Diceros bicornis minor: one gene and its partners. The protein of the gene in region 1 interacts with the protein of each later gene in a biochemical or structural test. Links are inferred from orthologs where the notes say so. Each region holds a gene or a part of one and is shown in the gene's direction. Other genes may lie near its edges.

Evidence for each region.
Region 2: the proteins of GABARAPL1 (region 1) and TBC1D2B form a complex in vitro, tested with the Homo sapiens proteins (2 studies listed by BioGRID and IntAct). The link is inferred for Diceros bicornis minor from reciprocal best matches to the Homo sapiens genes GABARAPL1 and TBC1D2B.
Region 3: the proteins of GABARAPL1 (region 1) and STK3 form a complex in vitro, tested with the Homo sapiens proteins (2 studies listed by BioGRID and IntAct). The link is inferred for Diceros bicornis minor from reciprocal best matches to the Homo sapiens genes GABARAPL1 and STK3.
Region 4: the proteins of GABARAPL1 (region 1) and kelch repeat and BTB domain-containing protein 6 form a complex in vitro, tested with the Homo sapiens proteins (2 studies listed by BioGRID and IntAct, with this or other methods). The link is inferred for Diceros bicornis minor from reciprocal best matches to the Homo sapiens genes GABARAPL1 and KBTBD6.

What each region holds. Positions count from the first base shown.
Region 1 is NC_080756.1:51,971,684-51,979,857, reverse strand, and holds the start of GABARAPL1 (gamma-aminobutyric acid receptor-associated protein-like 1), read left to right. Parts: upstream 1-5,071; 5' UTR 5,072-5,261; coding exon 5,262-5,351; intron 5,352-8,174. UniProt on the Homo sapiens protein: Ubiquitin-like modifier that increases cell-surface expression of kappa-type opioid receptor through facilitating anterograde intracellular trafficking of the receptor. Involved in formation of autophagosomal vacuoles.
Region 2 is NC_080744.1:70,965,797-70,973,440, forward strand, and holds the start of TBC1D2B (TBC1 domain family member 2B), read left to right. Parts: upstream 1-4,498; coding exon 4,499-4,855; intron 4,856-5,187; exon of another isoform or gene 5,188-5,254; intron 5,255-7,644. UniProt on the Homo sapiens protein: GTPase-activating protein that plays a role in the early steps of endocytosis.
Region 3 is NC_080760.1:17,574,387-17,581,747, reverse strand, and holds the start of STK3 (serine/threonine-protein kinase 3), read left to right. Parts: upstream 1-4,220; 5' UTR 4,221-4,317; coding exon 4,318-4,343; intron 4,344-7,361. UniProt on the Homo sapiens protein: Stress-activated, pro-apoptotic kinase which, following caspase-cleavage, enters the nucleus and induces chromatin condensation followed by internucleosomal DNA fragmentation.
Region 4 is NC_080748.1:35,166,798-35,174,869, forward strand, and holds the start of kelch repeat and BTB domain-containing protein 6, read left to right. Parts: upstream 1-4,991; 5' UTR 4,992-5,262; coding exon 5,263-7,272; 3' UTR 7,273-8,072. UniProt on the Homo sapiens protein: As part of the CUL3(KBTBD6/7) E3 ubiquitin ligase complex functions as a substrate adapter for the RAC1 guanine exchange factor (GEF) TIAM1, mediating its 'Lys-48' ubiquitination and proteasomal degradation.

The sequences.
Region 1 (8,174 bases):
CCCGCAGAGCAAGGGAAAGCAGGGGCCTTTTATTTTGGATGGAGAATGAATATTCAAAAGGGAAGTTTCATCATCACATGTAGAGGTGGGTATAAGCTCCCGGAGGCGTAGTTTGAAAACACGCTTTCACATACATCACACATTATGCTAATAAGGCTGAAGCTCCTCCTGAGGCAGAGATCTTAACATCAAAATGAAGCAAAGGTAACTTTTGGACACTTCTCCGCCTGTCTGCGAAAGCTTCGCTCTTTGTGGTGGGATTTGGACTGGTTCAGGGCAGTTGGTGATTGCATCTGTCAACGTAACTGAAAAACAACTTTGAAAAACAGTCAAGTGCGTTTGGAACCTCCTTCAAGTTACTTGGGGCAGTTAGTCAGGGACAATAGGTTGGCATCTTTCTATGGAAGGCATTACATGTGAGCTTAAGCAGTCTGATCTCAATCCTGCATTCTATGAAAGCCATTGTAAGTTTTGAAGAGGGAAAATATCATATAACCTCCAGTTTCATTAATTTGCGCTAGTGACTCACAGAACTCATAGAAATATTTTACTCATGGAAGAGGTGCATAGGGCAAGGTATGTGGGGAGGAGTGTGGCGCTTCCATGCCCTTTCCCAGCACATCACTCATCCAGCCCTCCACATCTTCACCAACCTGGAAGCTCTCAGAACCCTGTCCTTTGGGGTTTGTATGGACGATTCATTCCATAAGGGTGATTGATTAGGTCATTGGCCATTGGTGATTGAACTCAATTTCCAGCCCCTTTCTTCTGGACAGGGGGTTGGGGGGCTTGGGACTGAAAGTTTCAACTCTCTAATCTCATGGGTGGTTCCTCTGGTGACTATCGCCCATCCTTAGGTTACCTAGATGCATTCCAACAGTCACTCATTAGCATCGCAAAAGACACCTTTATCCTCTCAACACTTAGGAAATTCCAAGGGTTTTAGGAGCTCTGTGCCAGGAATGGGGTAGCAGACCAAATATATATTTCCTATTATAAATCACAGTATCACTGGCTGCCTTAACTAAGTACCACAAATTGGATGGCTTAAACAACAGAAATTTATTGTCTCTCAGTTCTGGAGGCTAGATGTCTAAAATCGAGGTGTAGGCAGGGTTGGTTTCTTTTGAGAGCTGTGAGGGAGAATGTTTCATTCCTCTCTCCTAGCTTCTGGTAGCTTCTAGCATTCTTTGGCTTACAGATGGCATTCTTCCTGTGTCTTCACATCCCCTTTCCTTTATGCATGTCTGTCTCTGTGTCCAAATTTCCCCCTTTTCAGAAGGACACCAGTCATACTGGATTAAGGTCTACCCCAATGGCCTCATCTTAATTTGATCATCTGCAAAGACCCTATTTCCAAAGTCACATTCACAGATACAGGATAATACGTCAACCTCTTTTGGGGGGACATAATTCAACCCATGACACAGTTGTTTTGGTGGAGTTTCAGGAGACAGCAAAGATAAATGTATCTTCTTCAATCTGCCATTTTAAATCAGAAGTCTACCCTTTGCTCTTTTGACTATGACATACTGCACATTTTTTGAGTCTTTACTTTGTATCCAAAGCACTGAGGACAAAAATACAAGTAATATGCCATCATATAGCACAGAGTCTATTGGGAGAGACTACCTGAAACTAGGGACTTAAATGTCATTAGAACTCCCTCCAACTCTATCTTTATATCTCTCTCTAGACATATCTATATATCTTGCCTCTCTGAGTGTCATCTTCTTTACCTGTCTTTATCTTGGACTGGTGCATTTGGACTGCAAATTTGGACTGCATGAGACTAAAACAATGACTACTATAAGCCTCTGATTTTATATCATCCAAACTTCATCACCAAAGAGGGGGCTTACTTCCCTTAGTTTATATGTGGGAAATTCTAAGAAAAGATTCTGATTAGTCTTGTGTAAGTTACTTGGCCTTCTAAACGGTCAAGGCAGTGAGGGTCTATGATGGGTGGATCCCACTAGAAAAACTATGTGATGTCAGTGCAGAAGTAGTAGTTGCCTTCAAAACCATGTATATCTCTCCCCCAAAAACAATGAGAACTAATAGGTATCATATAATCTAATAAACAATACATCATTATAAGTGCAATGACAAAGATAAGCACACAATGCTTTGGAAGCACACTTGTTACCAAGCAACGGGCTTGTTCTGCTCACCGTGATTTGAGCCAATTAATCACAACTAGTTAGAGATTGAGAAAGGAAGCTTTTATTTGATTAGCCAGCATAATCAGAAGATGGGAGACTAATGTCTCAAATAAAGCCATCTTAAAGATTTACAGAATCTTGAGGCAGTTATATAGGGAAAATGGGCAGTAAAGACAGGGTTTAGAGATGCCGGCCTTCGACATGGGTCCCTCATTGTTCTTATCTTCTGTCAGTGATGATGAATATCCTACAGGTGTTCCTTCTTCCTGGAAGCCTTCTTATTCCTTGGGAAAATTTGTTAAGACTGTTAGGAACAAAGGTATCAGAGTACCTCAGCAGGGGTATGTGGAGAGGATCAGGGCCAGAAAATCATGAAAGCATGTAGTAATTTATAATAATCACACACTAGAAGGGTTTTAACTAGGAAAGGGTCATTTAGCATAACAAAGATGGCCTCACTTATGTTTACTTACACACAGAGGATACAGAAGGACCCAGGAAAATGAAATCAGAAAGATTTCCTGGAGAAGCTGATACCTGAACTAAACAATGAATGATTTATAGGAATTAGATAGAAAAAAATAGGAGGTAATATTTTCATAGGAGGAGCCTTTGAGAATATCCAATGGCCAGAACCAAGGGCAAGAAAGGGAAAGAAGTAAATTAAGTAACTTAGTATGCCTGGAACATATATGTTCTATATATGAGGCTAGAGAGAGAAATAGCAGCCAGAGCATAAGTACTCTATTTCTCTATTAAGGAATTTGAAATTTTCCCAAAGACTACAGAGAATCTCTGACCACTGAATGATGCTAAGAAAACACACAATGAAATATGGTTTTGTTATATTTATTCTGGCATCAGTGAACTTTTTCTTTCTCTTTTTCCTAAAAATGATACAAACAAAATTAAAGACTAATTAAGAAAGGGTTTGAGTAATAGTGGTGGTTTCAAAACACGTCCACAAATTCTTTAACATTCCTCTAATGGGGGGGGGGTCTATGGTCTATTCACCTGCTGAAGGACATCTTAATTGCTTCCAAGTTTTGGCAATTATGAATAAAACCGCTATAAACATCCTCGTGCAGGTTTCTATGTGGACAGAAATTTTCAGTTTCTTTGGGTAAATACTAAGGAGGATGATTTCTGTATCATGTCATAAGAGTATGTTTAGTTTTCTAAGAAACCACCAAACCGTCTTCTAAAGTGGCTGTACTATTTTCCACCCCTGTCAGCACTGAATGCGAGTTCCTGAAATGTGAGCTTTTTAATATAGTATTTTGTCTTTGGTTAAAAAAAGAATTTTGAAATATTTTTATCTGATTGTATTAATTTATAAAATTCCCTTCTGTATAATATTTTAAATGTTAGGCTGAGAATAAAGGTAGAGAGCAAACTTTGGAAGTTGACAGATTGGGTATTCTAAGATAAAGTATTAGCATTTAGAAAGGCCTTAAGACCAAAAAAGATTAACCAATATTGCATATCCAAATGATTTTTCATATATAAATTGCCACTGTGCCTAAGTATTTTTAAAATAAAAGTTAAAATCAGCATTTTAACTAGCTACAATTGTTTCCAGTCCATTGGAGGAGAAAACAAAATATTAATCTTCATCATAATTACTTTTCTCAACTCGTTGTAAAGTAGTCCTTTGAAAGATTTAGCTATATTTGATTCAAAGCTAAAATGACTGACAAGGAATTAAATAAACTATTTTCGATTTGAAAATAAGGACTAAAAATTATAAACATATTATAAAACACTTCTTGGATTTTCATACACAAAAAGGGCTGAAAGATGCCGTGGAGAAAAATAGTTAAGACCAAGAAGTAGGACTACGTAATTCATTTTCCTTGTTTCAATAATGAAACTTTGTTTTTTTGTGTGTGGGTTTGTTTTTTTTAAATCAGAGACATTGAAACCTTGATAAAAGATGATAGGTGTCCGGTTGCCGTTGTCCAATGTATATTTTTCAGAACTCCCTGGACTTGTTCAGGTCAAAGCAGGCCTTTCAGGTGGCACTTTTTATTCACATTAGGGACACTTAACCAGTAGTACTATCCTCAGGGGAAATTTTTGCAGAAGACAAAGGATGTTAGAGAACTACTGAGTTAATCACCTGAATTGCTTGCTATTTCCCTTTCCAGAAGACAGGCCCAACTCCTGGGTTAACAAGACCAAGTGAATCATCTCTATATTTGAACATGCGTGAAGCCCTTCGTATACGTGACTGACATCACGTCTCCGTACCTTGATTACACCTCATGCCCTTCACCTTATACATCTCTTCAAATTCCTGAGTCATGCTGTTTATGTTGCTGCTCTAGGAGCAAATTGCCGCATGGACCCAAACAAAATGACGCCAGCATCGTGGTGGGAGGGGTCACGGATACAGACAGCTCCTGAGGTGCCGGGCGGGTGAAATTGAACGGACAAAGGGCAAAATGCAAGCAAGGGGTATTTCTGCACTGGCCATAGGAATTCCAGGACCCCTATCCCTTCTTTTCCCAGACTCCACATCCCAACAAGCTGGAAAAAGCTGCATTTTCGCCCTCTGTATTTGTTTTTGGGCCCAACCAAGAAACAGCGAAGGAGAGGGAAACACATCTTTCGAAAAAAAATACTTTTTTGCTTTTAAAACCATCTTTAATGTCACAGTCACAATAAAAGAAGAAGTAAAATATTTCCATGTCCGCAATGGATTCTATTCAGGAAACCTTTACGTAGAGAGAATGCACTGACACGGAGGACGTGTCTGCGCACCCCCACGCCGCGCGGTCCGGAGCGCCGGGGGCGGGCTGAAGGGCGGAGCTCCGTGAGGTCACAGTGCCTACGCGCCGCGTTGTTTTTGTGTTCCCAGCTCTCGGGAAAGCCGCGGGGATTTCTTTACCTGGCCATCCCCTACCTCCGTACCAGGGGACCTGCGATCCCTTCTGAAAGCTCTGCCAGGCTGCGTCGCGAAGGGAGCTGACATTTCCGAAGCGATTCTGATACACACTGAAGTTCGGCGGAGGGAAGCAGGACGGGAGAGACGCCGTCATCAGCGAGGGAGGCAGGCCCCGTCCGGGGATCTTAGAAACCCTGCGGTCCATCATGAAGTTCCAGTATAAGGAGGACCATCCCTTTGAATATCGGAAAAAGGAAGGAGAAAAGATCCGGAAGAAATACCCGGACAGGGTCCCTGTGAGTGTAATGGAGTGCCGAGGGGGTGGGGGAGAGGATTAGCGGGGCCGGGGGCGTCGCGATGGCTGCCCTCAGGCGCAGAAGGGTGGTCCCTCAGTTACTTAACCCTGAACGCCCTTCGCTACCCGGAGAGCCAGTGGAATGGACGTTCTGACTGCGGACCTTTCAGAACCCATATCCCCAGGGCCCGTCCCCATCTTTAGAGCCGACTGCATCTCTAGAGCGGAGCCTGCTCTTGAGTGACTCAGCAGTATTCCGAAGCGATGTAGGTTGGGATGTGCTCCAAATGTGGCCCTTTTGTGCCAGAATGATTAGGCTGGGACCTTGGATTTGCTGCTTTTAAGATCACAGGGAAATTGTGGGAATAACTGACGCAATGGGGTTTGCTCCTATCGATTTCTGCCTTACGTGGTATTCCCTTAATCGAGTTGACTTTGGCCCTCGTAGCACTGGGGTTGGGAGGGAAAGGTTCGGAAGCAGGTGGGTCCTTTCTTTTATACTATGAAGATTAGGCAGGTAGGTGGGCGGCGGGGGGGCTCGTCACGAGACACGCCTGGCGGAGAAAACAAGGTCACGTTCTCTGCGCCACAGCCCGGTTGCCTCATCATTCCTGGCTCCAGGGCATGTGTGGGGGCAGCCAGCCTTCCTCCCGTTCTCATTCTGATCAGATTGTACCTACATACAATAGGGAAGGACTGAGGCCTTTTTCCTTCCGTTTTACACCCTGGTTTATGTAATTAAAACTAGTGTAGGCTGTGAGGAGGAACAGAGAAGAGATAATAAGGAATCTTGCTGCATCCGGGCGTTTTTCCCGTGTCCCACCCGCCCCTTGACTGGTTTTTCTGTAATGTGCGCTACACAGCCGGATTGGAGGGCAGGAAATTTAAGTGTGGTAATGAACAACAACCGTTGGATTTGGGAGATGGAAGAGCAGACACTTTAAGCTTGTGCTATTTATCTTCAGGCGGGAACGTTAGGATAAATATTACGTGCAAATTACAGGCAAAGGGATTGCGATTATCTGATGTCCTTTACTGACCCCCAGATTCTTGGGACTTCTCCATCCTTACCTGTCACGGTGCTACAGCTACCAGAAGCAACTTGGGCCTTAGGCCAGCAGTGGAAACCCCTTGCAGACCTTTTCCTATAAGGAGGAGGAGACATTAGGGCTGTTCCGTTCCCCAGCAATTGCAAACAAAGGGTCTTTGGCTAAAAAGGGGAGCTAGCCCTTTTACCCGGTAGAGGATCTTTCACAAATTGCTTTCCTGGTCTCTGGGCCTTGGATAACTGCTTTAAAAGTGTCCCTCAAGTCTGGTGATATACCAGTCCTACTTTCTTATCAGAATATTTAAAAGTGACAATTAACCTTTATTGATAGAATACTGTCACATACATGGTAAACTAAGTGCTCTTTCTTCATTCACTTACTCCTCACACCATTATAATCCCATTGTACAGAAGAAGGATCTGAAGCACAGAACAATGAAGTGACTTCCTGCAGGTTTCACATGGCTGGCGTGTGGTGGAGCCAGATTCCAACTGCCTTTTGGACCCTCCGTGTCATATCATTCCTCAATTTCTGACCCAGTTCTATTAAACAGTTAAGTGTGCGCTGTGGGCCTCACGCTGTTAGGTGTGGGAAATGGAGAAATAAAACTTTTGCTGCCCTCAAGCGTTCAGAGGATATGATGCCAGAAAGGTAACCCAGTCAGCGAAATGACTGTTTCTTCAGAACTATGACCTAAGCCACAAACTCTGAATTTTGCCAGTTCCTAAATCTAGTTAAAATTCCCATATATTTCCTCAAAACTGAGCCCTTCCCATTTCAGTCATTTACATGCATTCACCAGTATGTCAGCTAATCCCTCGTTTTTTTTCTGTTCATTGGTGTTAAATGTTTTACTTCTTTGATAATTTGTAAGCTGGTCTGACCGTCCCTCAGATCTCATGGTTCCCTCAGTTAGATTTTAACCAGTGGTAAGCTGCTCCTTAGGTGCTCAGCTGGTCACCTTTCTAGTTGTGACATAGGACGAGGAGCTCCGCCCTCTGAGTTCTGAGATTTGGTTCTAGTTCTGGGCAGAACCCTTAGTCTTGCTGTGCTGGCGTCCTATTCACAGGAAAGAGGGTTAGAGTACAAGATTTCTAAAGCCCCTTCCAGCTGGACTGTTGGTGTTATTAAAGCAGTCACATACCGTGACTGCTCACATCCTCAAGCTTAGCCCCAACACTGTCTCTTAGCTGCCATCCAAAGAATAGGTGTGCTTGTGCCTTGAGAGAGGAGGGTTTCATGGGATCTTGAAATTTTCTTAATAGCTACAGTGTATTGAAAACCTGCAACATAGCAAGAAACTGTCGGGAACAGATTGTCTATTTTTTTTAATTATTTTTTTTTTTTGGTGAGGAAGATTAGCCCTGAGCTAACTTTCATGCCAGTCCTCTTTTTGCTGAGGAAGACTGGCCCTGGCTAACATCTGTGCCCATCTTCCTCCACTTTATGTGGGACGCCGCCACAGCATGGCCTGACAAGCCGTACGTCGGTGCGCACTCGAGATCTGAACCCAGGCTGCCAGTGGTGGAGCGCGTGCACTTAAATGGCTAGGCCACGGGGCCGGCCCCAGGTTGTCTATTTTTTAAGATTCGTGAACAGCTCTGTGGTATATGAGCCACATTGCACAGATGAGGAAAACTGAGAAGCAAAGAGACAAAGCATCTAGCCCAGAGCCCACTGTAAGTGAGGAATAGAATTGGGATTTCTGGAAACCTAAATATCTTTTGGTAAACTGAGGCCTTAATGATTCTCCCCACCCCCAGTTTCTTTCCATA
Region 2 (7,644 bases), on another chromosome or scaffold:
TCTGAAGACGGTCTTGCTCTCCCTGCTCCCTCTCCAGCCCTCCAGTGCTCAGCGCATTCACAGCACCAGCACTCCAACCTCACCCCATGACCTCCAGTCCCCTCCCCATCCAGGCCAACTTCCTCCAGATGTGCTCTGGGTTTAGCAAGGCCCTGCCAGGATTGCACTGTGTCTCCTACCCCCAAATAACGGCACCATCTCTGCCTGTACTCGGTCTCGGGGACAGAAGGCCTCCATTTGTGCCATTTATGTGTGGGTGGTGGTGGTTAGGGCAGTTTCTCCAGCAGGGCCCAGGGAAGATGCAAATATGTGACCCCAAAGTGGTAGTGCTCGCACTAACCACAGTGGGCGGCCAAGCCTGTAGGATGGAAGAGATCCCTGAGGGAAGGGATAGGTCAGTTTGGATGGCCGGAAAAATCGAGAGGCCTTTGAGCACGGAGGCTCAAAAGAGCAGAGCCTCCAGTGGTCTGGGGAGCTGTAGGAAGAGTGACCACAGGCCCTCACAGCTGTGCCTCATGCCACTGATACATTTCAGAGCAGGCAGGGGCAGGGCCCTTGGAGATTGCCCAGCCATCCATTCCCTTATTGGACAGGTGGGAAACTGCAGTCCAGAGAGGGCACAGACACCCCTAAGGACACACAGCGTATCAGGTGAGAAGGTCTATTTTCCTCTCTGGGCTCCCTGCGGGACTGCGAGCTCCTCCTGTGGCAGGTCAGTTTCTTGGCCAGCTCTGTCTCCTTGGGGTCTGAGAGACTCAGAGGGCAGTGTGTGGCTGGGTGCTTCTTAAGAGGCCTCTCATCAAGTCCCTTTCTGGGGAAACTGGCCTAGGATGAGTCACTGGCTCTGCGTTCCCCCTGGGGTTTGCCCAGAGACTGACCATGTGGGAGCAAGTTCACTGCCCAAATTTCCCCTTTTCCGTAAACAGCAGCCACTTCCTCCTGGACTGGCCACTTCCTTCTGGTCACTGAGGGGGCAGGGGCTCACATGGGCATGCAGGGCAGACCCTCTGGCACCAAGCACACCCATTTTAGACACAGGGGAGGTACATACTCTGTGTAAAGCTGGCCCCCTGACCACAGGACTGTGACATTTAATCTAAGAGACCTTAGGAACTGCAAAATGTCAACAAGTCATTTAAGAAGTGTTCCAAGGAATTAGGAGCCACCAGAGGCAGCCCCAGAATTTCCATGTAGCAGGGCCTTGAGGGGAATGATCTGGTTAGAGAAGGGGGGAAACTGAAGCTGCATTTGTTTACCATTTTACATCAACTATAAAAATTATCCAAATTGAAGATGGGAGAGGTGCTAAGAGAGACGAGCTGAAGTCCCGTCCTCTAGCCCCCTTCAGCTCATGGGGATGAGAGGCGATTCGACGCAAGGTTTGCTCATGAAATAACCAGCATCCCAGAGTGGCCCTGAGAGACGTGGCAGGGCAGGGGGACCTGGGAGAGGTCTGGAGGGCCGAGAGGGTTTCGGGATTGGTCCTGGAGGCCCGACAGAGCCCTGGAAGGCTTGGGCCACTTCTACTGGGCTCAGCCTGCCGGCCAGGTGGGCAGAGACTCAAGGCCTCCAGGGCCCCTGCTGAGGTGCTGCTGCCGGCTTTGAGGCCTCTGTGCTCTGCCCCTCTAGCTGGGGTCTCAGGGTTTGTGGCTGAGCAGCCTCCTCAGAGGGCCACATTCTGGTCCAGGCCAGAGCCAGGCAAGGGCCAGGCCAGTTTATCCCTTAGATCCTAGGCCCAGTGCTTGGGCCCACCAGCTTTCAAAGGGCCTATGAAATGTTTGTAGCCTAAGAAAAATATATTGACTCCAAAACCTGAGAAAAAGAGTAAAATCAAAATTAATAAACATTTAATTGAATGTCTGGAAAGTGTAACATTATGTCAACTTCGCAGTAATCATAAAAATGTCATTCCCTTTAAAAACAATTTGTAGTTCGGGTTTTTCTTACTCAGCCAGGATTCCTGCATAGACACGATGATTGCCAGGAGGTTGTAGCCAATTGTAAATTAAAATGAATTCCTCATAGTCAGATAATATCAAGAGCATAATTATAGAAATTCCTTCAAACACTTTTAGAAAATTACATATATGTTTACTATGGGATGTGGGCAATTTTAATGTTTGATGTGATGTGGAGTGTGGCCTGCAAAAGGAAGAGGGCAAAGGCGTGCAAGCATGTTAAAATGGCCCCACTCCTCTGCCGTGGGTGACCGGGGAGGCAGTGGAGGCTCAAGGACAGGAGGGTCAGGCTTGAGGCCCAGCTTGCCCGCTGAGAAGCACAGACATCGGCTGCAGGAGGGACTGTAGATGTTTCCTGTCCAGTACCACCTGCCATGCCCCGGTCAGCCAGCCCAGACTCTTGCCCCAGGGAGGAGGCTCACTCCCTCTGCCTGTGAAGGATGACTTCCTCACGTCTAGCAGATATCTGCCTCCACACAGTACCCTACGAGGCTTAGTTCACTTCTCCAGGACTACAGGGCACGGCCACCCACACTTTCTCACAACTCACTGATAGAGCAGAGGACAGAGATGGGCTGTTCCCTGCCCCTACCCTGCAGCGTCCCAGTACTATAGCTGTACAGACCCAGTTCTCCCAGCTCTTCCCCTTTCCATAGGATTCGCAGTCACACCCCACCCAGGCTGCTGCCCCACAAGCCAATTAGTCACAGCCCCTCTTACCCGTAGGGTGAGGCTCAAATTGAATTCCATTCCCTCACTGCGCACAGCGGCCCACCCCACTCCTACAGTGCATTCTCTGGCCTCCCACATGTGGGGCCTGGTCTGACTGCTAGATCTCCCTTTTTGGAAGCTTCTGAGGAGGGCATCAGTGTTAACTGTACAAGAATAACAATAATAATAATAGCTGATGCGTATTGAGTGCTTACCATATGCTAGGCACTGTGCTAAGCACTTTCACATGCATTTCTCATGTAACCCTTACAAGAACAATGGTATGAGGTAGCCACTTGTATTATCCCCATTTTATAGATGAAGAGACTGAGGCTCAGAGAGGTTAAATATCTTGCCCAAGGTCATACCTCTGGTTAGTGGCAGAGCTGGGAGACAAATCTCATGAGTCTGGCTCCAGAGGCCAGCTCTTAATACTGCGCAGTATCATGCTCAAAGAGAACTGAAGGGCATTAAGGTGGAGGCACACTTGATGGGCCCCTTGACGAACACCTTGGTTCACCCTTGATGAACACCTGGAAGCTAACACGGCTGGCTGGTGGGGTGAGGCCCCGGGACCTCACCCTTCCTACCTGTCTGGTTCCAGGCAGACAGTCTAATTTGGTGTCCCTGTCCATCTCAGAAAGCCTGATTTCTACCTGTGTCTATTAGTGTGTCTTGTAAAAACATGCAAAACGAAGAAGGTGAGATATTTGTCTTGATCTAGCCCTTTCACAAAGGTAGGTATAACCACCATTTTGCCTTTGCGAGCTTTTGTACTTGCTGTCACCTCTGCCTGGAATGTTTCCCCCCTCGGATCTTTGCAGGCTTGTTCCCTCACATCATCCAGGTCTCTGCTCCAGGCAACCTCCTCAGAGGGGCTTCCTGTACTTGTGGAACAGCTTGCCACTCCTGCCCTCTATCACCCCGTCCTCTTACTTTATTGTGAAACAATAGTAATTGACTCTTGAAGTAATTGTGAGAGTTCAAATGAATTAATTTATAAAGCACTGGCAAGTAATAAGTGCTATTTAAGTGGTAATCCTTATTTAAATCTCATCACAGCATTCATATAACAGTATATATTTATCTGCTTGTGTGTGTGTGTGTGTGGGTGGGTGGGTGGGTGGGTGGGTGGGTGTTATCTCTCTCTCACTAGAATATCATCTCCATGAGGAAGGGAAATGATTGGCTCGTTCACTGCTGTATCCTTCAGGGTCTGGAACTGTACCTGACACACAGAAGGCGCTCAATAAACATTTGTTGAATTCAGTGAAGGAACTGAAGAGATGGGAAATACTTACACTTTCATTCATGCATTCTGCAAATATTTACTGAGCACCCACTCCGCGCAGGGCAATAGGCTCTCTCATTTTCGTATTAGCCCGTGATTTTCGCAGGGCAGAGATTTAAAAATAAAGTTTTGTATTGAGGTATAATTTACATACAATGAAATGCAGTTTTAAGGGGACACTCTGATGGATTTTGAGAAATGCACACTCCCGTGTAACCCACACTCCTGTAAAGAAATAGAACAATGTTTCACCCTGGCAGCGCAGGGTTCTGAGCCTCATGTTACACGAAGGCAATGAGGCGCAGGGGCAACCCGCCCAGACCTCACCTCTGAGACGCTTGGGAACCGGGAGCTGGGGCTGGAGATGGGGCTAGGGCGGGGGCTCCCGGGGGCGGGCGGGGGCGGGACTACACGTCCCAGGCTGCTTTGCGCGCCCGCAGGCCGTGCGGAGCGGCGGGGCTGTGGGAGGGGGCGCAGCGCCGGCGGCGGCGAGGAGGCGCGAGGGCCCGGGCAGTGGCGGTTGGCGCGCTGGCTAGCGATGCCGGGGCCCGGGGCCCGGGCGGAGGAGGGCAGCGGCGGTGAGGGCGCGGCCCCGGGGGCCGCGGCGGAGCCTGGGGCGGGGCCCGGGCGGGAGCCAGCGCGGCTGTGCGGCTACCTGCAGAAGCTGTCCGGCAAGGGCCCGCTGCGCGGCTACCGCAGCCGCTGGTTCGTGTTCGACGCGCGACGCTGCTACCTCTACTACTTCAAGAGCCCGCAGGACGCGATACCCCTCGGCCACCTGGACATCGCGGACGCCTGCTTCAGCTACCAGGGCCCCGACGAAGCGGCGGAGCCCGGCGCCGAGCCGCCAGCTCACTTCCAGGTGCACAGCGCGGGAGCCGTCACGGTGCTCAAGGTGGGAACGCGCGCGCCCCGAAGCCCGGCACCCGGACCCGCAGAACCCGCTCATACGCCCTTTAGCCCGCTCCTTTTCTTAGCCTCCGGAGCCGCCCCCGACCCCAGCCAGCCTAGCTATGCCCATCGGACTTTCTCCCTGCAGCCTCCTTTCCGTAGTCTGCCTTCCTTTCCCCGCTTCTTCCCCAGACACTGTCCCTGTGCCCCCAACTCATGCCCTAAGGACCTAGGCTTAGGCCAGAGGGCTGCTCAGTCCCGTCTCCCTTCCTCAGACACTTTGACCCATTATCTCCCTCAGCCTACCCTCAGGCCCCACTCTTGTGTCGCCCCCAGCCCCCATCCTGTCGATGTCCTGTGCATCCCTCCGAGGCATCCGTGACTGTAGGCTTCGTGACTTTGAGTAAGTTATTTAACCTCTCTGTTTCAGCTGCCGCCTCTGTAAAATGGGGATACCAGTAGTATCTATCTTGTAAGAGTGTTGGGATTAAATGAACTATACTCTAAACTGCTCGGTAAATGTTATTGCATTCAGTGCTATGGACAGAGAGTCAGAGATGGCAGAGCCCTTAGAGATAATCCACTGCAGTCTCCTCCAGAGTAGGCAGGGTCTCTCCAGCTAAGGTCACACAGCCAGTAAGTGGCAGAGCCTGTTTTCTTGCTCCTTATTTTGGCTGGGAGAGGTGGGAAAGGATTGCCTCAGCCATTTCTGCCTTGCTCATTCGAGGTTCCTTAATCTTTTCGCAGAGAGACACAGTGTGGGAGATAAAGTATAGAGGCAGGGGGCTAGAGTCAGAAGTCCTGGTCCTGGTGCTGAGAGGCCTCCCCTGTCTTTGGGAGTTCCTAGAGGGTTAGGCCCCTTCACCTCCTGGTGACTCTCCTGCTTTGAGCACCTGGAGATCTGGGCCCTGTCCCCGAGCTGGTCACATCTCTCCCAGCCTTGCTCCCTGCCTGGTTCCTGTGAGCCTCCACCCTCGCTCGTCTTTCTTGCTTCCCTTCCGTATTGCAAGCTGGGCTTTCTCCAGAGCAGCAGGGCTGGGCTGGGATGTGTGAATGCTCTCTGCAAAGCTGGCCAAGTGGAGAGCAAAGTGGGCTGTGCCTAGCGCTCTGGCCTTGTGAGCACAGGACTATTCCCTGGGACCTCCGGAGCTGGCAGCAGCTGGAGCTGCTCCCTGGGGTCGTTCTTAGAGCTTTGTCAACTCAGCTGTTTCCATTTCCCGCAGATTCTGATTCCCATGTTCTTTCAGGCTCCTCCATCCCGTCTCTAAGTGGGCACAGAAAGCCTGTTACTCCAGAGGAAGCCAAGCAGGGTTGCAGTTCAACTCGAGCTTACTTAGAAAGCGTTTATATAAACTCAGGAATGCCTCCAGCGAGTACACAGGGACTTTTGCCAGAGGCAGAGGCTTGTCCTCACTCTATACATGGACTGTTCCTGTGTCAGATGAATTTCCTGTGAAATTGTTTGTTAAAAAAGAAAATAGAGCATCCTGTTTCAGATTTTCTCAGGTGACTTTGGAGCCCTGTATATTTAATTAAAAAACATTAAATAATGGAGGTATCTGCGTAAGTGGGGCTACAAGGTGCAGTGTCAGGAGTGTAGCTTTAGAGTTGGGTGGACTTGAACTTACAGCCTGAGTCTGCCACTCACATGTGTTGAGCAAGTTACACCACCTCTCTGTCCCAGTTTCCTCTTTGGTCTAGTGGGAATCTTACCTTCCTCATTAGGTGGTTGTGAGAATTCTGGAAAACGTTATGGAAAATGGCTGGCACTGAGTCGGCATTAAATAGCAGCCATATGAAACCACAAGCAGTGTCTTTGGCCAAATATGTGGTATATTCCTATAAGGGAGTATTATGCAGCAGTAAACACGAAGGGATGAGAGCTGTAGGTGTCAATGTGGATGACTTTCATGAACATAAAATTGAGCAAGAAAAATAAAGTTACAGAATGAGTACATACAGAATGATACCATTTAGGTAAAGATTAAGAAGATCACGTAAATGTACATGCTGTGTGGTGAGTGGGAGAGCTGCGTGGGGTGATGAGCCCTTGATTCAGGATGGTGGTTCCTGCCGATGGGAATAGAGGAGAATGTGAATGGGGATGGGTGCCCAGGGGCTTCCACTGTCCTTGCAGTGTTTTAGTTCTAGGACCAGGTGATAGGTACACCAGTGTTGTTATATTATTCTATCCATCTTTTTATATGTTCAGAGTATTTCTTTAAAGAAAAAAGGAAATCCATTTTCATATGGGTTACTGATTCTGCAGGAATATTTGAATTAGTCACAGAATAAGACAGAATGCCTGAGGCCAAGGGTCTGCTTTATAGAAACAATGGAAATAGAACCACAGGCAAGGCTTTCCAAAAGAAAGGAGCAGTCAGGATGTAGGGTTTCATAGTAGGGGTACGTTTTAAGAAGGATGCATTTTAGTGTACGGTGATTCCTTTTGAGCTTTGAGAGTAAAAATTTTATGGTGGTAAGCGTGGAAATTAGTGATTTATTTTCCTTTTCACCTTTCAGATCCAAGAACTGATTCCCATAAGCTTTATTGCTTCACTTAAGGGCTGCTCAGCCATAGGGGACACCCTGATTTCCGAGGGGGATTCTAGGCTAGTGAGGATTAAGCCCTGCTCAAACTTCAGCTAGTTGTATGTAATTTTACAGATACTATTTCTTTTGACAGATGAGTTAAAGAGAAAAGAAAAGAAAAATCAGCAATTTACTTATTGTATTATCATATGTTTCTTGTTTTAAAGTGTCTCTCTGCCTTCTTGGGAGAAGCTGTGGTTT
Region 3 (7,361 bases), on another chromosome or scaffold:
TCCTTGCCATATGCTTCAGGGAAGGCTGGTCCCAGTCCCAGCTCCAAGCCCAGCTCCATGGGGTGAATCACAATTGGTCTATAGAGGTTTTTGTAACCTCATTTCCTTTGCCAGCAATGAGTCTGTGACACACTCTGGCCAATAGGACATGAAGGGAAGTCTGCAGAGGGGCTTCTAGAATAGGTTTTCCCATCATCTTCAAAAGTGGTATTCAGAAAGAATGAACCCTCTTCTTTTGCTGGACACTGTCATGTGTCCAGGTGAACTTGGAACTTTGGCAGCCATCATTTGAGGGGAGGGAGGTAGGTTGAGGAGACCATGTTGTGCACAGCAGAGCAGGAAATGGAAGCAAATCAAAGAATTAATCAAACCTAGAAACATCTACCTCTAGGCTTCTTGTTTTAAAAATCATTTTGAGGTATTACTTGTAGTTAACTGATATGCTAGACTTTTGAGATGATAAATATGAATAAGATACTGTCCTTATTCCCAAGAGGCTTACAGTTTGGTCAGAGAAACAAATAAGCGAAACAGAAGTTTAGGATTGCTCTGAGAAAACAGGATAGTGTTTGAATTCAAATGCAACATGCTAGTTCCAAGCTAACTATAAAATTAAGCCAGAAAAGAGAAACAGATCAAGGGAAAACATTTTGTAAAGTTGCCTCTTGAAAGGAAATAATTCTGAATTTCCCTGCAAATAAAAAGTTACATAATGTAATATATTCTCTTTTCCCCAAACTCTTCCTCGTAATAGTAGAAAAGATAAGCAGTTGTTAATTAGTATTATTTTTCAAATAAATATGAGAAAAAAGAGTAATACAAACTTGCAGTTTCAATAAGTAGCAGCAACTAGTATAATAAGGAAAAAAATTTTTCTTACCTTAATATTTTTCTACTCATAAAACATGGTGGTATTTATTCAGTGACAACAAATGCAGTTTTGTTATTCTAAGGAACTGGGTCCCAAATTGCAGATTTCTCTCACATTTCTCTCAGAGCACGCAGTTGAGAATTCTGGTGAGCTGTTTGCTAGTATAATTAAAGTGCATACTTAACCTCCATTCCAGTTGGAACGGTTGGAAGCAGAAACAGATTATCCTGCTTTCACAGTTACGTGAAGCTGAGTGACTCTTACCTGTATCTCAGATTTTCCTATAGCTCTCAATTGTTCATGAATGCTGCTGCCTGTTGTTTGCAGGTTGAATGATGATTTCTATGCTTTCCTTCTTGGAATCTTCAGGCTAGCTTTCCACAGACAAATTGAAACAGAGACTTCAGGCTAATTTTTCTTTTCTGAGTAATTCAGTAAAAAAACAATTCCTTTCATTCAGTAACACATGACACACCAGGCACGATTGCCTCCGGCCTCAGCACTTCTTGTTCCTTGGTCTCAGTCTCCTCCCGTAGCCATGGGCATGGCTCTCCCCCACTTCCTCAGTCACCCTCTCACTGAGGCCTGCCCTGGCCACCCTATCTAAGTTTCATCCCTTCCCTTCCACTTCATATTCCCCTTCCCCAATTTATTTTTCTTCCTTACCAGTTTTCAGCACTAACATTATTGATTAGGTGCTTATTTACCTTATGTTTCCTCGACCAGAATGTAAATCTTATGAGAACAGGAATTTTTGTCTATTTGTCTATTCACTGATGAATCCTCAGCACCTAGAACAGTGCCTAGTATGCATAAGGGCTCAGTAAATATTTATTGACTGACTTACAGTGGGACAAGGCTTGGCTTTGGAAGTATAAAGGCCTGGGTTAGAATGCAGATTTTCTATTTGGCCTAGGGTTACTCTCTTCATCTCTTTGAACCTCAGTTTCTTTTTACCTATAAAATGGAAATAACTACCTAACAAGGTAGATTTAAGGGTTTGATGAGACAATGTAGCCAAGTATTTGACCTTATTGGAGTCATACAACCATTGTTAGCCGTCTCCCTTTTCAGACTGAGTGAAGACCTCAAAGGTTTATTTTCTGATATTATTCCTCCTCCTCCACAAACTTTCTTTATGGGTAACTATGTCAGGGTTCCATTAGGAAAAGTTTTTGAAGGTACACTCAAATTAGGGTCATTTGAGGAGGGTTGAGGTCTAGGGGAACATAGGGAATAGAGGAGGAATCTGGGGATTGGCAGACCAGTCACTACCCATAGGCCCACAGGGAGGAGAGGAAGCAAGAAGAGTTGGGCCCTAGACAACCTCACAGGAAGGGAACCAGGGGAATAAATAGCCTTATACTCCATTCTCCCTCAGATGATCTCCTGTTGGTCTCCCTATCATCAGACCCAACTATAAGCCAGAGAGCTGGGACTCCAAGGATGTCAGCTATACAGGTCAGCCCCTAGGGCAGAGAGCAGATGGAAAAGGATGGAGAGTGAATCTGGGGGGTGCAAAAGGAAGCTATCCAGCTTACTATGTGTAAGGCACTTGCTATGCAAGAGATAGAGAGAATAATGACCTGGTCTACTTCTCAACAAACTCACAGCTGGGTTGGAATGACAGTCAAATAAACAGAACTTCAATCAACTGTGATAAGTATCATGCAAAAGCCAGCACAGTGTGTTATGGGCACGTATAAGAAAGGCATCTCTTTCACAACTTCAGTGTCAAAGGTAGCGGGGTGGTGGTGCTGGTGATTTGACTGGGAAATGCTTCGTGGAGACTGAGGTTGGTAACATAATTCAGCATCCATTTTAAAGTATGTCTATTTGAGCCCATTTAAAAATATGGCAATTTTTTAAAAAGATGAAATTACCCTCTCTGAAAGAGATTTTTCTGATGAAATACAAGAATACGGGACTACGGCGTGGAAGTGAGGATGAGAGTGAGGGACAGATGAAACAATTTCAAATGTTCTTCCTAGCTTTAACATCTTAATGGTTTAGTTTTTTGTTGTCCTGTTACTTCTGAACTGTTAGACTGTAGATCTTTAATAAATCTAAATGAGTATAAAATTTTGTAATAATCTCTCTTGTTTACAGACTTTGACTAGGTTTCAACGATGAATGGTCTTAACGAATTTAACGTAACTAAATTTAGGGGGGAATATAATGGTTTGAAAATAAATCATGTAAATTTATTACATAGTGAAACAATGCAAAAAGAGGAATAACTGTTAATAGACAAGTTTAATTTGGGTTAATGTTCATAAAATTCCTTTATTCAACATTCTCTCCATATTCTTTGTTCTTATCTCTGAGAAAACTCTATATGACTCTACATCTTGATAAATTTCTAACAAAAACAAGCAAACTCATTACCTAGCAGCTGTATATGGTCATAAGCAAGATATCTATATATGGAATTTAAGGTAAAATGGCATATGCACAATATAGACACATGAAGGGGTCAAACGGCAATGGGGTAAGGGCCTTGGGAACAGGTTGGAGGGAGAGGGTGGCAAGAGAGAAGAAAACACATTTTTTTTGAGTGCTTTCCTATGCACTTTAATTTGCGATAGGTTTGCCGGGTTACCCAATTGAACAGCCGGCAAGACCACAGTGCACTGAATTTGGTGCACTGGGAGATCTCACTGCAGTAATTATTTTCTTTGTAATTAGATGTAATTATTGTGAAATGTATTGAGGAGCTTGTTCACAATCAACATCAAACAAGAATTTCCAGAAGTATCCCTGGTACTGTAGCTACAAATGTCAAATGGCTAGGAGAGAACATAACCAGTAATTACAAACAGAACTAGAGAGGGAAGCGTGGGCAGTTAGTAATACTTCAAACGGCTGTACAAGATGTTTGGGATGTATCCTTGAGAAAGCTAAAGAAATGAGTCAAATAGTATTGGGGTAAAAGCAATGAAGGCAACTGAGGGGCAGTAGCTCTAGGATAGCGCAAAGGAACAAGTCCCTGACCAGCACACAGCGGCTCTCGGTCCTGACTCGGCCTCGTCCTCTGGCTCTTCCAGTCTCCCCTCCTTATTTCCCCTCGCTGCACTACCGCCGGCCTCTCCCTCCGCCCCCGACTCCGCCTCCTCCCCAGCGCCTGGCTCCGCCCACCACGCCTGCACCGAGGCCTTTTCCGCCCACCCTCTCTGGACCGCCGCCGGCTCCGCCCCCCCCCCCCCCCGCGCCTGGCTCCGCCCACCCTTCCTGGACCCGGGCGGGCGGCGGAGGGGCGGGGCGCGCCGGGAGGAGCCGCGCTCCGGAGAGGGGTGGGGATCCGCTGCAGAGTTACGGGAAAGTTGGTCCGAGTTCCTGGAGTTTCCCTCTCTGGTTCCCCTGGCTCGGCCGGCCGGTGCCTCGGCCCCTTTCCTCCCACCGGCCTTTGCCGCCCACCAGGTCGCTCCTTCAGCCCCCTGGCCGCCATGGAGCAGCCGCCGGCGCCCAAAAGGTAAAGAACGCGGGGAGCGGGGAGAAGGAGGGAGGCGGCGCCGGCGGCCGCGGGGCAGGGGCGGCTAGGCCGGGCCGGACCGCGACCCCCTCCCCGGCTGCGGGGCCCCGAGGCGGGCGCGCCGAGAGTCGGGAGGCGGGTCCGAGTGCCGGCCGCGTCTGTCCACGGGGCGAGGGGGCCCGAGGGGAGGCCGAGCTCGCCTCCCCCGCGGCCGGCCGGGCCTGGTGCGCGTGGAGCGTCGGTGGGCAGCGCCGGGCTCCCCGCGGCCGGACTCTTGGGCGGGCAGTTTTCCCTTGTGGCAAGTTCACGAAGCCTGGGAGACGTAAACCTAGGAAATTATTGGGCTTCTTACAACTATGTTGGTTTTCTTCTCAAATGATTTTCATAATATTGCCTTTTTTGAGAAGGCGGATTGTTTATTTACAGTTTAAGGAATTAAATATTAATAGCTACACAGTCTGTAAACTTATTGTGAATATGTTGCGCTGACAGGTGTGCCTTCCCCTCCCTCAAGTTCAAAAGTATTTATGGATGCAAGACAGTAGGATTCTTAAATTAGAACCCCTCCCCCATATAGCTTTTTTTTTCTTTTAGCATGTAAAAATAGTGATGCTTTGGTATTTACTCTTAGTTTGGATTTAATCTTCGATATATTGGAAATGTCAGAGTACACCGTAGATACATTTGAACTAATATTTGAAGTGAGCTAAATCTAGGCTCTCCATTGATATGTGTTCATAATGTGCATCCCCCCCGCCCCCCCCCCGAAGAATGAATCAACTAACTGATGTTGGGTAAAACATCTAACCTCAGCCTTTCATTTTTAGTTTATAAAATAAGGGTACTAATCTCTCTCCCAGATAATGCTGTTGTGAAGTTTAAAGAGTTCTTGTTTTGATACCTAGAGATCTTTAGATGAAAGGTGGTGTATTCAAGAACACGAAATAATTTAAAAGGTAGGAACTTTGTGTGCTATTGTGAATTGTGTCACCAGACATGTGAGCCTCGAGGCCTGGAAACCATCTGTTCAGGTGCAAAAAGGGGAGTCGTGGAGAATTTTCTAAAAGATACCTGCTATCAGACAGACCCCTTGATAGATTTTTTTCTGACATTTCGTAAAGTGTCTGAATTCTCGTATTGACTGGGCACCCAGTTTTAATACTATAGAAGAAAATTGGAAACCTTTTTTTTTCTTTTCTGTTTTGGAAGGATTGTAAGGGGGCATCTCTGAGATAGTGCCATAAGGCCAATCTGAACAGCTCTGAATTGAAGTAGAAGCTCTCTCTATTGATTAGCTCTACTCTGAGCTATCAGAGTTTCATTATAGGTGTAAGAGAACCCCTGCCCTTGCGGGGACGTTAGAGAACCTGGAGGGGTCAGGGGGAGGCGTGGGTGGTGTATATCACCATTCTGTGGTGACTTATACTTTTCAAAATGGTGCTTGCACAGTTAACAGACTTATTTTTAGCTCTCTTCAGAGAGATTTATGTTGATCCAGGAAAGCATTTCTGAAGAGCAAAAGATATGTGACATTAATCCTTTATTTTTTAATATCTCTTAATATTTTTTCATAGTATTTTCATAATATCATTTAATCCTTCATAACATCATTTAATTCAATACTGTATTGAGTAGGTTGGATTACGGGCATTAATCTTGTTTTGTAGTTGAGGATGCTAAGTGAGTTTGCCACCTGGAAGGCTATGACTGGGATTACTCACAGTAATTTTTGTGTTGTCCCTATTGATCATTACCTTCTAATAATAAAATATAGCTACCATTTTTGAGGTCCTCCTGTTTGCCAGGAACTTTATATATACATTCCTTTATTTTAATGTCTTGAGAAATAGGAATCCTGGCTCTGCAATTTTCTGTGCTAAGTACTAAATTAAATTTTAATTCTTAATCTGTAAAATGTATTGTGAGGGTTAAATGAGGTCATGTGTTAAAAGCACTTAGCACAATGCTCCATAATGTGTCCAGTAATGTTAGTTGTTAGTTTATGTTTTCCTTATTAAATGAAGCTCAGAGAGGTCAAATAACTTGGTGAAGTGGAGGAGGTGCCAGAACTCTGGGTCTGATTGGCTGCAAAGGCTGTGAACCCTCTCATTGTGTACAGTGATGCCTCTTTTTCAAACACTCGCTTGCTTCCTTTGCGTTCCATGATGTGGTTGTCGTCTGTTTCTACAGTCTTCTGGTTCCCTTTGCTTGTTCTCTTCCTAATCCGTGTAAGAATGCCACTTTGCTTTTCTGCCTTGAGTAGCACTTCCTGAGGGCTCAGACATTTTTATGTGGCGATATTTATGTTGCTGATGTTCAACTCTGTATGACCAGCAGCTGCTGCTCAGTTGATATTTTTGATTTTTTCGTGTAAATCCACTCTTTTTTTGTGTGTGAGGAAGGTTAGCCCTGAGCTAAGCTAACATCCGATGCCAGTCCTCCTATTTTTGCTGAGGAAGATTGGCCCTGGGCTCACATCCATGCCCATCTCCCTCTACTTTATATGGGATGCCTCCACAGCATGGCTTGACAGGCAGTGCGTCGATCTGTGCCCGGGATCCAAACCTGCAAACCCCAGGCCGCCAGAGCGGAGCGCGTGCACTTAACTGCTGTGACACTGGGCCGACCCCTGCAAATCCACTGTTTCATTATCCCATCTAGTTTATCATTAGATCCTGTCAAATTTTCCATGAAAAAGTCTGTGGATTCATTTTTTTTTCCCATTTCATTTCCAATACAGAACTACTACCCCATTCCAGGGTTTTATGACCCTCACACTTGATTTACAGCAGTGCCTTCCAACTGGGCACTTTAGTCCAGTGGTTTTCAAAAATTTTTAACAGCGGAAACATTTTAACAGCAGAAAGGCTCTGTTTGGAGTAGGCGCCGGGCACCAGAACCTGGTTCCCTGCCCCTTACCTCCTTCTATTCCCCGCTTTGCTGTCCTACAGAACCTCTTAATAATCCATAGAATACTATTTGCTTTAGTTTATCTTGCATATTGTTCTTTATTTAGGT
Region 4 (8,072 bases), on another chromosome or scaffold:
GAAAGTCCAAAAGTAGGAGAAGAGGTTAGAGAGGTTTTCAGGTTTTGAAATGCAGTCATGGAAAAGAGAGTCTCAGTTAGAGGAATCAGCACTGTTTACTTAGTCATGGCATATAAGGAAGAGGCAATGGTGAAAAAGCTAGGGATCCATTCCAACAATAGCCAACCCATCCTAGAAACCCTCCGAGTTGTCTTTTGATCTAAGGGAAAGGGGAATTGATGATGATGTTAAAACGTTTAGGGGGCCGGCCCCGTGGCTTAGTGGTTAAGTGCGCGCGCTCTGCTGCTGGCGGCCCGGGTTCGGATCCCAGATGCGCACCGACGTGCTGCTTCTCCGGCCATGCTGAGGCCGCGTCCCACATACAGCAACTAGAAGGATGTGCAACCATGACATACAAGTATCTACTGGGGCTTTGGGGGGAAAATAAATAAATAAAATTATAAAAAAAACAAAAACGTTTAGGGGACAAAGTTTCCGCTTCAAGAGAGATATGTCCTAGATAATGCTCTTGAGGGGGCTGCATAACTGCATTTTGTCTTTAGAAACTTTATGTCTGTTGTGGGCAAAAGCTTATTGTAAATGAGTTGTCAAAACCAGGTGAACAGAGAAGAACGTTGTCTGCATACTTTATAAGGAGCAAGTCGCAGGGAAAGGTTCAATTTCTCAGGTTTGCATTTAGGGTCCTAGAGAAATAAGTAGAGGACTCAGTAAACCCCTGAGGCATGGCAGTCCACATGTATTGTTGATTCTTCCACGTGATGGCAAAAAAGATTGTGAGTCAGGGTGAAGAAGGATAGTAGGGGGAAAAAAAGCAGAACATAAGTTGAGACTGTAAAGTGATGGTGTTGGATGGGATATAGGCCAGACTGGTACTAGGGTTAGGAGCTAGAGGAAACCTGGGCTTAACTACTTAATCCTCACAAGTGTTGGACTAGCCAGTATCCCTTGCCATTAGGATTCTTTACTGGGGGGATTGAAGTATTACAGGATGTGTCAATAAGGCCTTGAATTATAGTTTGAAAACTTTGGAGGGCTTCTAGTTTTAGATATGTTATGGTAATCTTGGAAGTGGCATGGAAGGATCTATTTCTACTTCAGGAGGTTCAGCCTCCCTGATTTGGCCCACGTCAGTGGACTGAGCAGCCCAAAAGGAGTCAGGTATTTTAATTAACATAGTTTGTACTTAGGTGTTGGGGTTTTTACAGGGGCAGGAAAAGTCTGATGGTCAATGAGAGACACAAAAGAGCAATGATACATAAGCGTGGATTCAGAGGCTTCAAGGGTGAGGCACTTGGGAGAGCAAAGAATACTGATAATTCCAATTGGAAAGTAAATGCCTTCCCAGAATGTTTACGAGGATAGTGGAGCTAAGGAGAAAGCTATGCCAGTGGTGAGAGGTACTAGTGAGGCAGAGAGAGGTTTAGACAAAGGCAAGTCATGTGCTGGATTATCAAGTCCCACTGCAGGTATGGTTTGTGTACTCCAAGGGAGGATAGTGGGAAAATAAAGGCGTTTATATTAGTTTTGTGGGGCTGATATGGTACTTTGTTATGTACCACAGACTGGGTGGCTTACACAAAAGACATTTATCGTCTCATACTTGTGGAGGCAAGAAGTCCAAGATCAAGATGTCAGCAGGGTTAGTTCCTTCTGAAGGCTATAAGGGAAGGATCTGTTCTAGGCCTCTCTCCTTGGCTTGTAGATGGCTGTCTTCTCTCTGTGTCTCTCCACATCATCTTCCTTCTATGCATGTCTCTCTCTGTGTTTTAATTTCCCATTTTTATGAGGCACTAGTCATACTGGATTAGGGCCCACCCTAACGACCTCACTTTAACTTGTTTACCTCTGTAAAAACCCTATCTCCAAATAAGGTCACATTCTGAAGTACTAGGGGTTAGGGTTTCAATACATAAATTTTGGAGGAATACAAGTCAACTCATAACAGAGTTAATGGTGAAATCTTTGCCTCTGTGTCCCCGGGTGGGATGTCCACTGATGGTTATTATTTCCCCTTGCACCTTGAGAGCTGTGGACAAAAAAAGGAAGGTTTCTTGGAGGAAAGTCATTGAAGAGATGGATTTTTGGACTCTTGTTCACTTTTGTATTTTGAGGCCAGGCAACACCAAGTCCAGTGTCCCTTTTCTTTACAATATCTGCTTATCTCTATCTTTGGGAGTATTGGAGGGAGCAGATGATCCCGTTATTTCCTTCAAATTAAGTTGTAAAGTCATTAGTTTGCATTGTGTTGATTTGGCCTTTTCTGCAACCGAGTCCTCGTGATGTATTTCATGTGTATGTATTTCAGAGAGAGATCACTTCCCTAATTTACATTATGTTTTGGATAATGTCTCTAATTTCTGGCCATAGCCTTAATGAAGCTAATGACCAAGCTGGAAAGGGTTTAGTTGTAGCCCTTCCAAACATTTTCTAAACTATGTATATAGCTGGAGACAGATTCATCTGTTTGTTTTCTGCACTCTTGTATCTTTGACCAATCAATTTTTGAAGGAAGACAGTGGGAATGGATTCTAAAAGTCCTCTCCCCTGTGGTTTCAGCTGGTAGGAAAGCCTCAGGGGTGTTCTGATTTCTTTGAAGGTCTTCTTGAAGAGTGGCCCATTTGGCTTTTCAAACAATAAAGTGGCATCTCCGGGACCCATAAGTAGTTCCACAAGTTGATATAAATCAATGGATCCCAGGAGAATATACCCCAAGCATCAGTCTGAATTGATCACTAGATTCTTCCCTATTCTTATGGGGGTCCAGAAAGACTTTAACAGTAACATGTAAATCTGAGCAAGATCAAGGATTAAAGAATACTTGTTCAGGTGGGTGCTCAGGTCACAGACCTTCTTTCACAGGTGGGGAACGACCAATAATAAGGGTTAGGATGGGGAGTTGGGGGCAAAGTAGTTTAATGGAGGCAGGGAGGGGTAAAGAGGAAGAATAGAGACAGAAGGAAGAAAGAATCCACAGGAAAAGGAGGAATAGTGGGAAGGAGAAAGGGCTGGGTTGGTCACATGATAAATTCTGGGTGAGGACAGGGTCATGAGATTGGACTGATGGTAAAAGAGACAGTCCTTAGGAGACGTTACAGTTTGAGATAGACTGGAGACTTTCTTATTTTTCAGCCTCCACATACCAAGCAAAATAAGCTGACCATTGGGGAGAAAAGATCTTCGAGTCCCAAGGTTTGAGGGCATCTTATACCTAGACAGGCTTAGGGAGATTCCAAGTGTCCCAAAGGGGCCACTGGAATTATAAGTTGTCCTCAGTAAAATCCTGCCATTTTTGGAGGTAATGATCTGAATTTTCACCTTAGTGGTGAAGCATATAATTGGTGGGAATTTTGAAGAGCACTGAGAAGTGGGTTGAGGGTTTCCCATAACACTAAGATTAAACAATAGCTAGCAACAAAACCAAACCAAAAGATGGCTCAGAGAACCAAAATCAAATCCTTACCATGCCACCATGGACAATTGTCTGGAGCACATGGATCAGGAGCTGGACTCACCACGAGATCCCCGAATCACCAGTCAGGGAAGTAGCACACAGGCTCGAGAGGCCTTAGTATCTAGGGGGAGAAGACGGGGGCCCAGAGGTGGGCTTCTAGTTTCATTTCAGTAATGGCACCAAACTGTCAAAAACCAAACAAGTAAGGAAATTTATTTTACTCAGACTATTGCAATATGGAGAATGGCTCAGATCTAAAGGCAATCAGTTCTGCCTTAGACCTTTATAGGGAGGAGTTAGACAAGTTATAGGAGGAGTGGTTTACAGTTAGGATTGCTTTTGTAACCAGGGAAAGTCTCAGTCAGTAAGCTGAATAGAAAATGTTTACCTTTGTGTCTAGCTGGTTTGGGCAGGCTTCTAATCTCAGTTAATCATTCATGAGACAAAGGAGTGGAAATTAGAGACCCTGTGTTGGGCCTTGTTGGCAGGTGCAGGCACAAATGGAAACCTCTGTGTTTAACCTTCTCACAGGTAAATAAGGGAGTCATCTGTGAGTCTTAGCATAGTCACAAGAAAGAGTGGACAATGAGTCTTATCTAAGTCAGATGGGAAAAGGTGGTTTGTTGTGATAAGCTATTTCCAAACACAATAGGGTGGGGAGATTCCGGGGAGGATAAAAAAGGTTGAGGGATTTCTTAAATATTACTCTTCTCCTGGAGCACAGGGATTAGGTAAAGTTCAAATTTTTAGGTTCAAGGTTAATTTATAAACTGTACACTTTAATTAATAATACTGTATTAAGTTCATCACTTGTAACAAATGCACACTCTAATGCAAGATGTTAATAATAGTGGAAACTATGAGGGGGTGGAGTATATGGGAGCTCCTTGTAACTTCCTGCTCGATTTTCCAGTAAACCCAAAACTGAGCTTAAAAATAAAATCTATTAATTAAAACAAAACAAAATGTAAACGGATCTCTGCAGAAACCTGCAGGGTTTTTAAATCTTTCCTAGAGTCTTATACTTTCTAATGAGTGCTTCATTTTTCATAAATGCTAGAAAAAAAGCTAAAATTTATTGAACCTTTATATTATAGGTACTGGGTAAGTACCATTCTACTAATCAACAAATAGTTATTCAGAGCATCCAATATATCCTATGCAATTTATCTCATTTAATCTTCACACAACGTTATGAAATACTATTGTTATTCACATTCTAAAAAACAGGAGACAGTTCTGAGAGAGAAGTCAAACAATAAATACTAGAACCGGCGGCTAATCTAGATTCAAAACCCAAAGTTCTAAACCATAAAAGCGAATCTAACCGAATTAGCCATTTCTAATTCCGTCAGCCGAAACAATGAACAGCCGATAAATCTCGCGATATTATTGAAACTACTACTCCCGACATGCAAAGCGGCTTCTGTCCATCAACCTATCCCCATAAGTCTGGAGGACCCCGGCAAGCCTCGAGGCGCGAAAGGCAACCTGGGAGCCGTAGTTCTCCTGGACACCTACCAGTTATTGCCAGCGCAGTGGAGGTGGCTCTCTTGGCTCTACCTGCAGGTCCTGCGAGGGCGAGCTGAGGTGGAGAAAGGGCGCAGACCTGGAAAAGGGTGAGTCAGGCACGGTCTACGTGGTAAAGGGAGGCGGCACCGCGGTATAGGGCTGAATTAAGTAAATGGACCTGTGCTGCAGTCTCTCCGGAGACACCACGATCTTAGCGCCGGCGAGAGGAGGGTGAGGAGGAGCCAGAGCCCGGTCCTTGCACCCGTCCTCGCCCTCGGCACCGCGCCGCCATCTCCACCATGCAGTCCCGGGAAGAAGCTCCGCGTTCTCGCCGCCTCGCCAGTCCCCGCGGAGGGAGGCGGCCCAAGAGGATTCACAAGCCATCCGTTTCGGCTTTTTTCACGGGCCCGGAGGAGCTGAAGGACACGGCCCATTCTGCAGCCCTGCTGGCACAGCTCAAGTCCTTCTACGATGCACGGCTGCTATGTGATGTGACCATCGAGGTGGTGACACCTGGCAGCGGGCCTGGCACAGGCCGCCTCTTCCCCTGCAACCGTAATGTGCTGGCTGCCGCGTGTCCCTACTTCAAGAGCATGTTCACCGGCGGCATGTACGAGAGCCAGCAGGCGAGCGTGACCATGCATGATGTGGATGCTGAGTCCTTCGAGGTCTTGGTTGACTACTGCTACACGGGTCGCGTGTCCCTGAGTGAAGCCAACGTGGAGCGCCTCTACGCGGCCTCCGACATGCTACAGCTGGAGTATGTGCGAGAAGCCTGTGCCTCCTTCCTAGCCCGCCGCCTAGACCTGGCCAACTGCACCGCCATCTTTAAGTTTGCCGACGCCTTTGGCCATCGCAAGCTGCGATCGCAGGCCCAGTCCTTTATAGCTCACAACTTCAAGCAGCTCAGTCAGATGGGTTCAGTTCGGGAGGAGACTCTGGCAGATCTGACCTTGGCCCAGCTGCTGACCGTCCTGCGCCTGGATAGTCTAAACATAGAGCATGAGCAGACTGTGTGTCACGTAGCTGTGCAGTGGTTGGAGGCAGCTCCTAAGGAGCGGGGTCCCAGCGCTGCAGAAGTCTTCAAGTGTGTCCGCTGGACACACTTCGCTGATGAAGATCAGCATTACCTAGAAGGGCTGTTGACCAAGCCCATTGTGAAGAAGCACTGTCCGGACCTTATTGAAGGGGCCATTCAGATACGATACGGTGACATGTTGTACAAGTCTGTGGTGCCTAAGTCAGAGGACAGCAGCAGCTCTGTTGTATCCGCAGCAGAAAATCCACCCCAGAGGCTAGGTGTGTGTGCCAAGGAGATGGTGATCTTCTTTGGACATCCCAGAGATCCCTTTCTATGCTGTGACCCATACACGGGGGATATTTACAAAGTGCCGTCGCCTTTAACCTGCCTTGCTCACACTAGGACTGTCACCACCTTAGCAGTCTGTGTTTCTCCAGACCATGACATCTATCTAGCTGCCCAGCCCAGGAAGGACCTCTGGGTATATAAACCAGCCCAGAATAGTTGGCAGCAACTTGCAGACCGCTTGCTCTGCCGTGAGGGCATGGATGTGGCATACCTCAATGGCTACATTTACATTTTGGGTGGGCGAGACCCTATTACCGGAGTTAAATTGAAGGAAGTGGAATGCTACAGTGTTCAGAGGAACCAGTGGGCGCTGGTGGCTCCACTACCCCATTCTTTTATATCCTTTGACCTAATGGTAATTCAGAACTATCTTTATGCTCTCAACAGTAAGCGCATGTTCTGCTATGATCCTAGCCATAATATGTGGCTGAAGTGTGTTTCTCTTAAGCGCAATGACTTTCAGGAAGCCTGTGTCTTCAATGATGAGATCTATTGTATCTGTGACATCCCGGTCATGAAGGTCTACAATCCAGTCAGAGGAGAATGGAGGCAGATAAATAATATTCCCTTGGTGTCAGAGACCAACAACTACCGAATTATCAATCATGGCCAAAAATTGTTGCTAATCACCTCGCGCACCCCACAGTGGAAAAAGAACCGGGTGACCGTGTATGAATATGACACTAGGGGAGACCAGTGGATTAATGTAGGTACCACGTTAGGCCTCTTCCAGTTTGATTCTAACTTTTTTTGCCTTTCAGCTCGTGTTTATCCTTCCTGCCTTGAATCTGGTCAGAGTTTCCTCACTGAGGAAGAGGATGTACCAAGTGAATCTAGTACTGAATGGGATTTAGGTGGGTTTAGTGAGCTGGACTCTGAGTCAGGAAGTTCAAGTTCTTTATCTGATGATGATTTGTGGGTTCAAGTAGCACCTCAGTGAAATGTACAGGACCAGCAGAGTTAGTTGTACATAGGCTGAAACACTAGATGTTTTTACTGCTTTGGAAAATATCTTAAAGAGATACCCTTTCCCTTTGCTGGAAAAAAAGTTGATTAATTTCAGGTTTAGTTTGGAAAGGGTATGGTTTGAAATAGTAATGTAATTTAATGTTACAGAATTTGAACGCTCAAATCAACCTATTTAATAATTTACTGTTCTAAAAGTCTAGTATTGATTTGATTGTTTAATATGTTTATGTTTGATTATACTAATTTAGTCTTCTCTTATTAAATCTTGCATTCTGTTGAGTGCCACAAGTATTGTAACTTGAATTTTAATTTTTCTCATAGAATACCAATTAGATAGGAATTACTAGATAGGGTTTTGAAAGAATGTATTTTCCTTCAGAACAGTGTAGTAGATTTCCAAAACTTTAAACTAGTGGATTTTTACAAAATGTGTTCTAACTTAAATATAGTTTGCTAAGTTTTAGTTTAGTTTCCTCCCCTTTTGTGAAGGAAAAAAGTACATATATGTTTAATGTGACTGAATGGTGATTTTATTTTTAATAATATACAGAATGGCTGTAAGCTCACTGAAAGTAAAAACAAACAAACAAACAGGAATCTACTGTTTTAAAAGAAATTGCAGTTTTAAATTTGTAATATAAAATGTGTATTTGCAAATCATGGCCAATTTTCCGTCTAAAAAATTCCATTCTAGTAGTGTCACCAATCATCTAAAAACCTTAAAGGAACAAACAGTGACTTGCTTTGTATGTTTATATTTTTTATCTATAC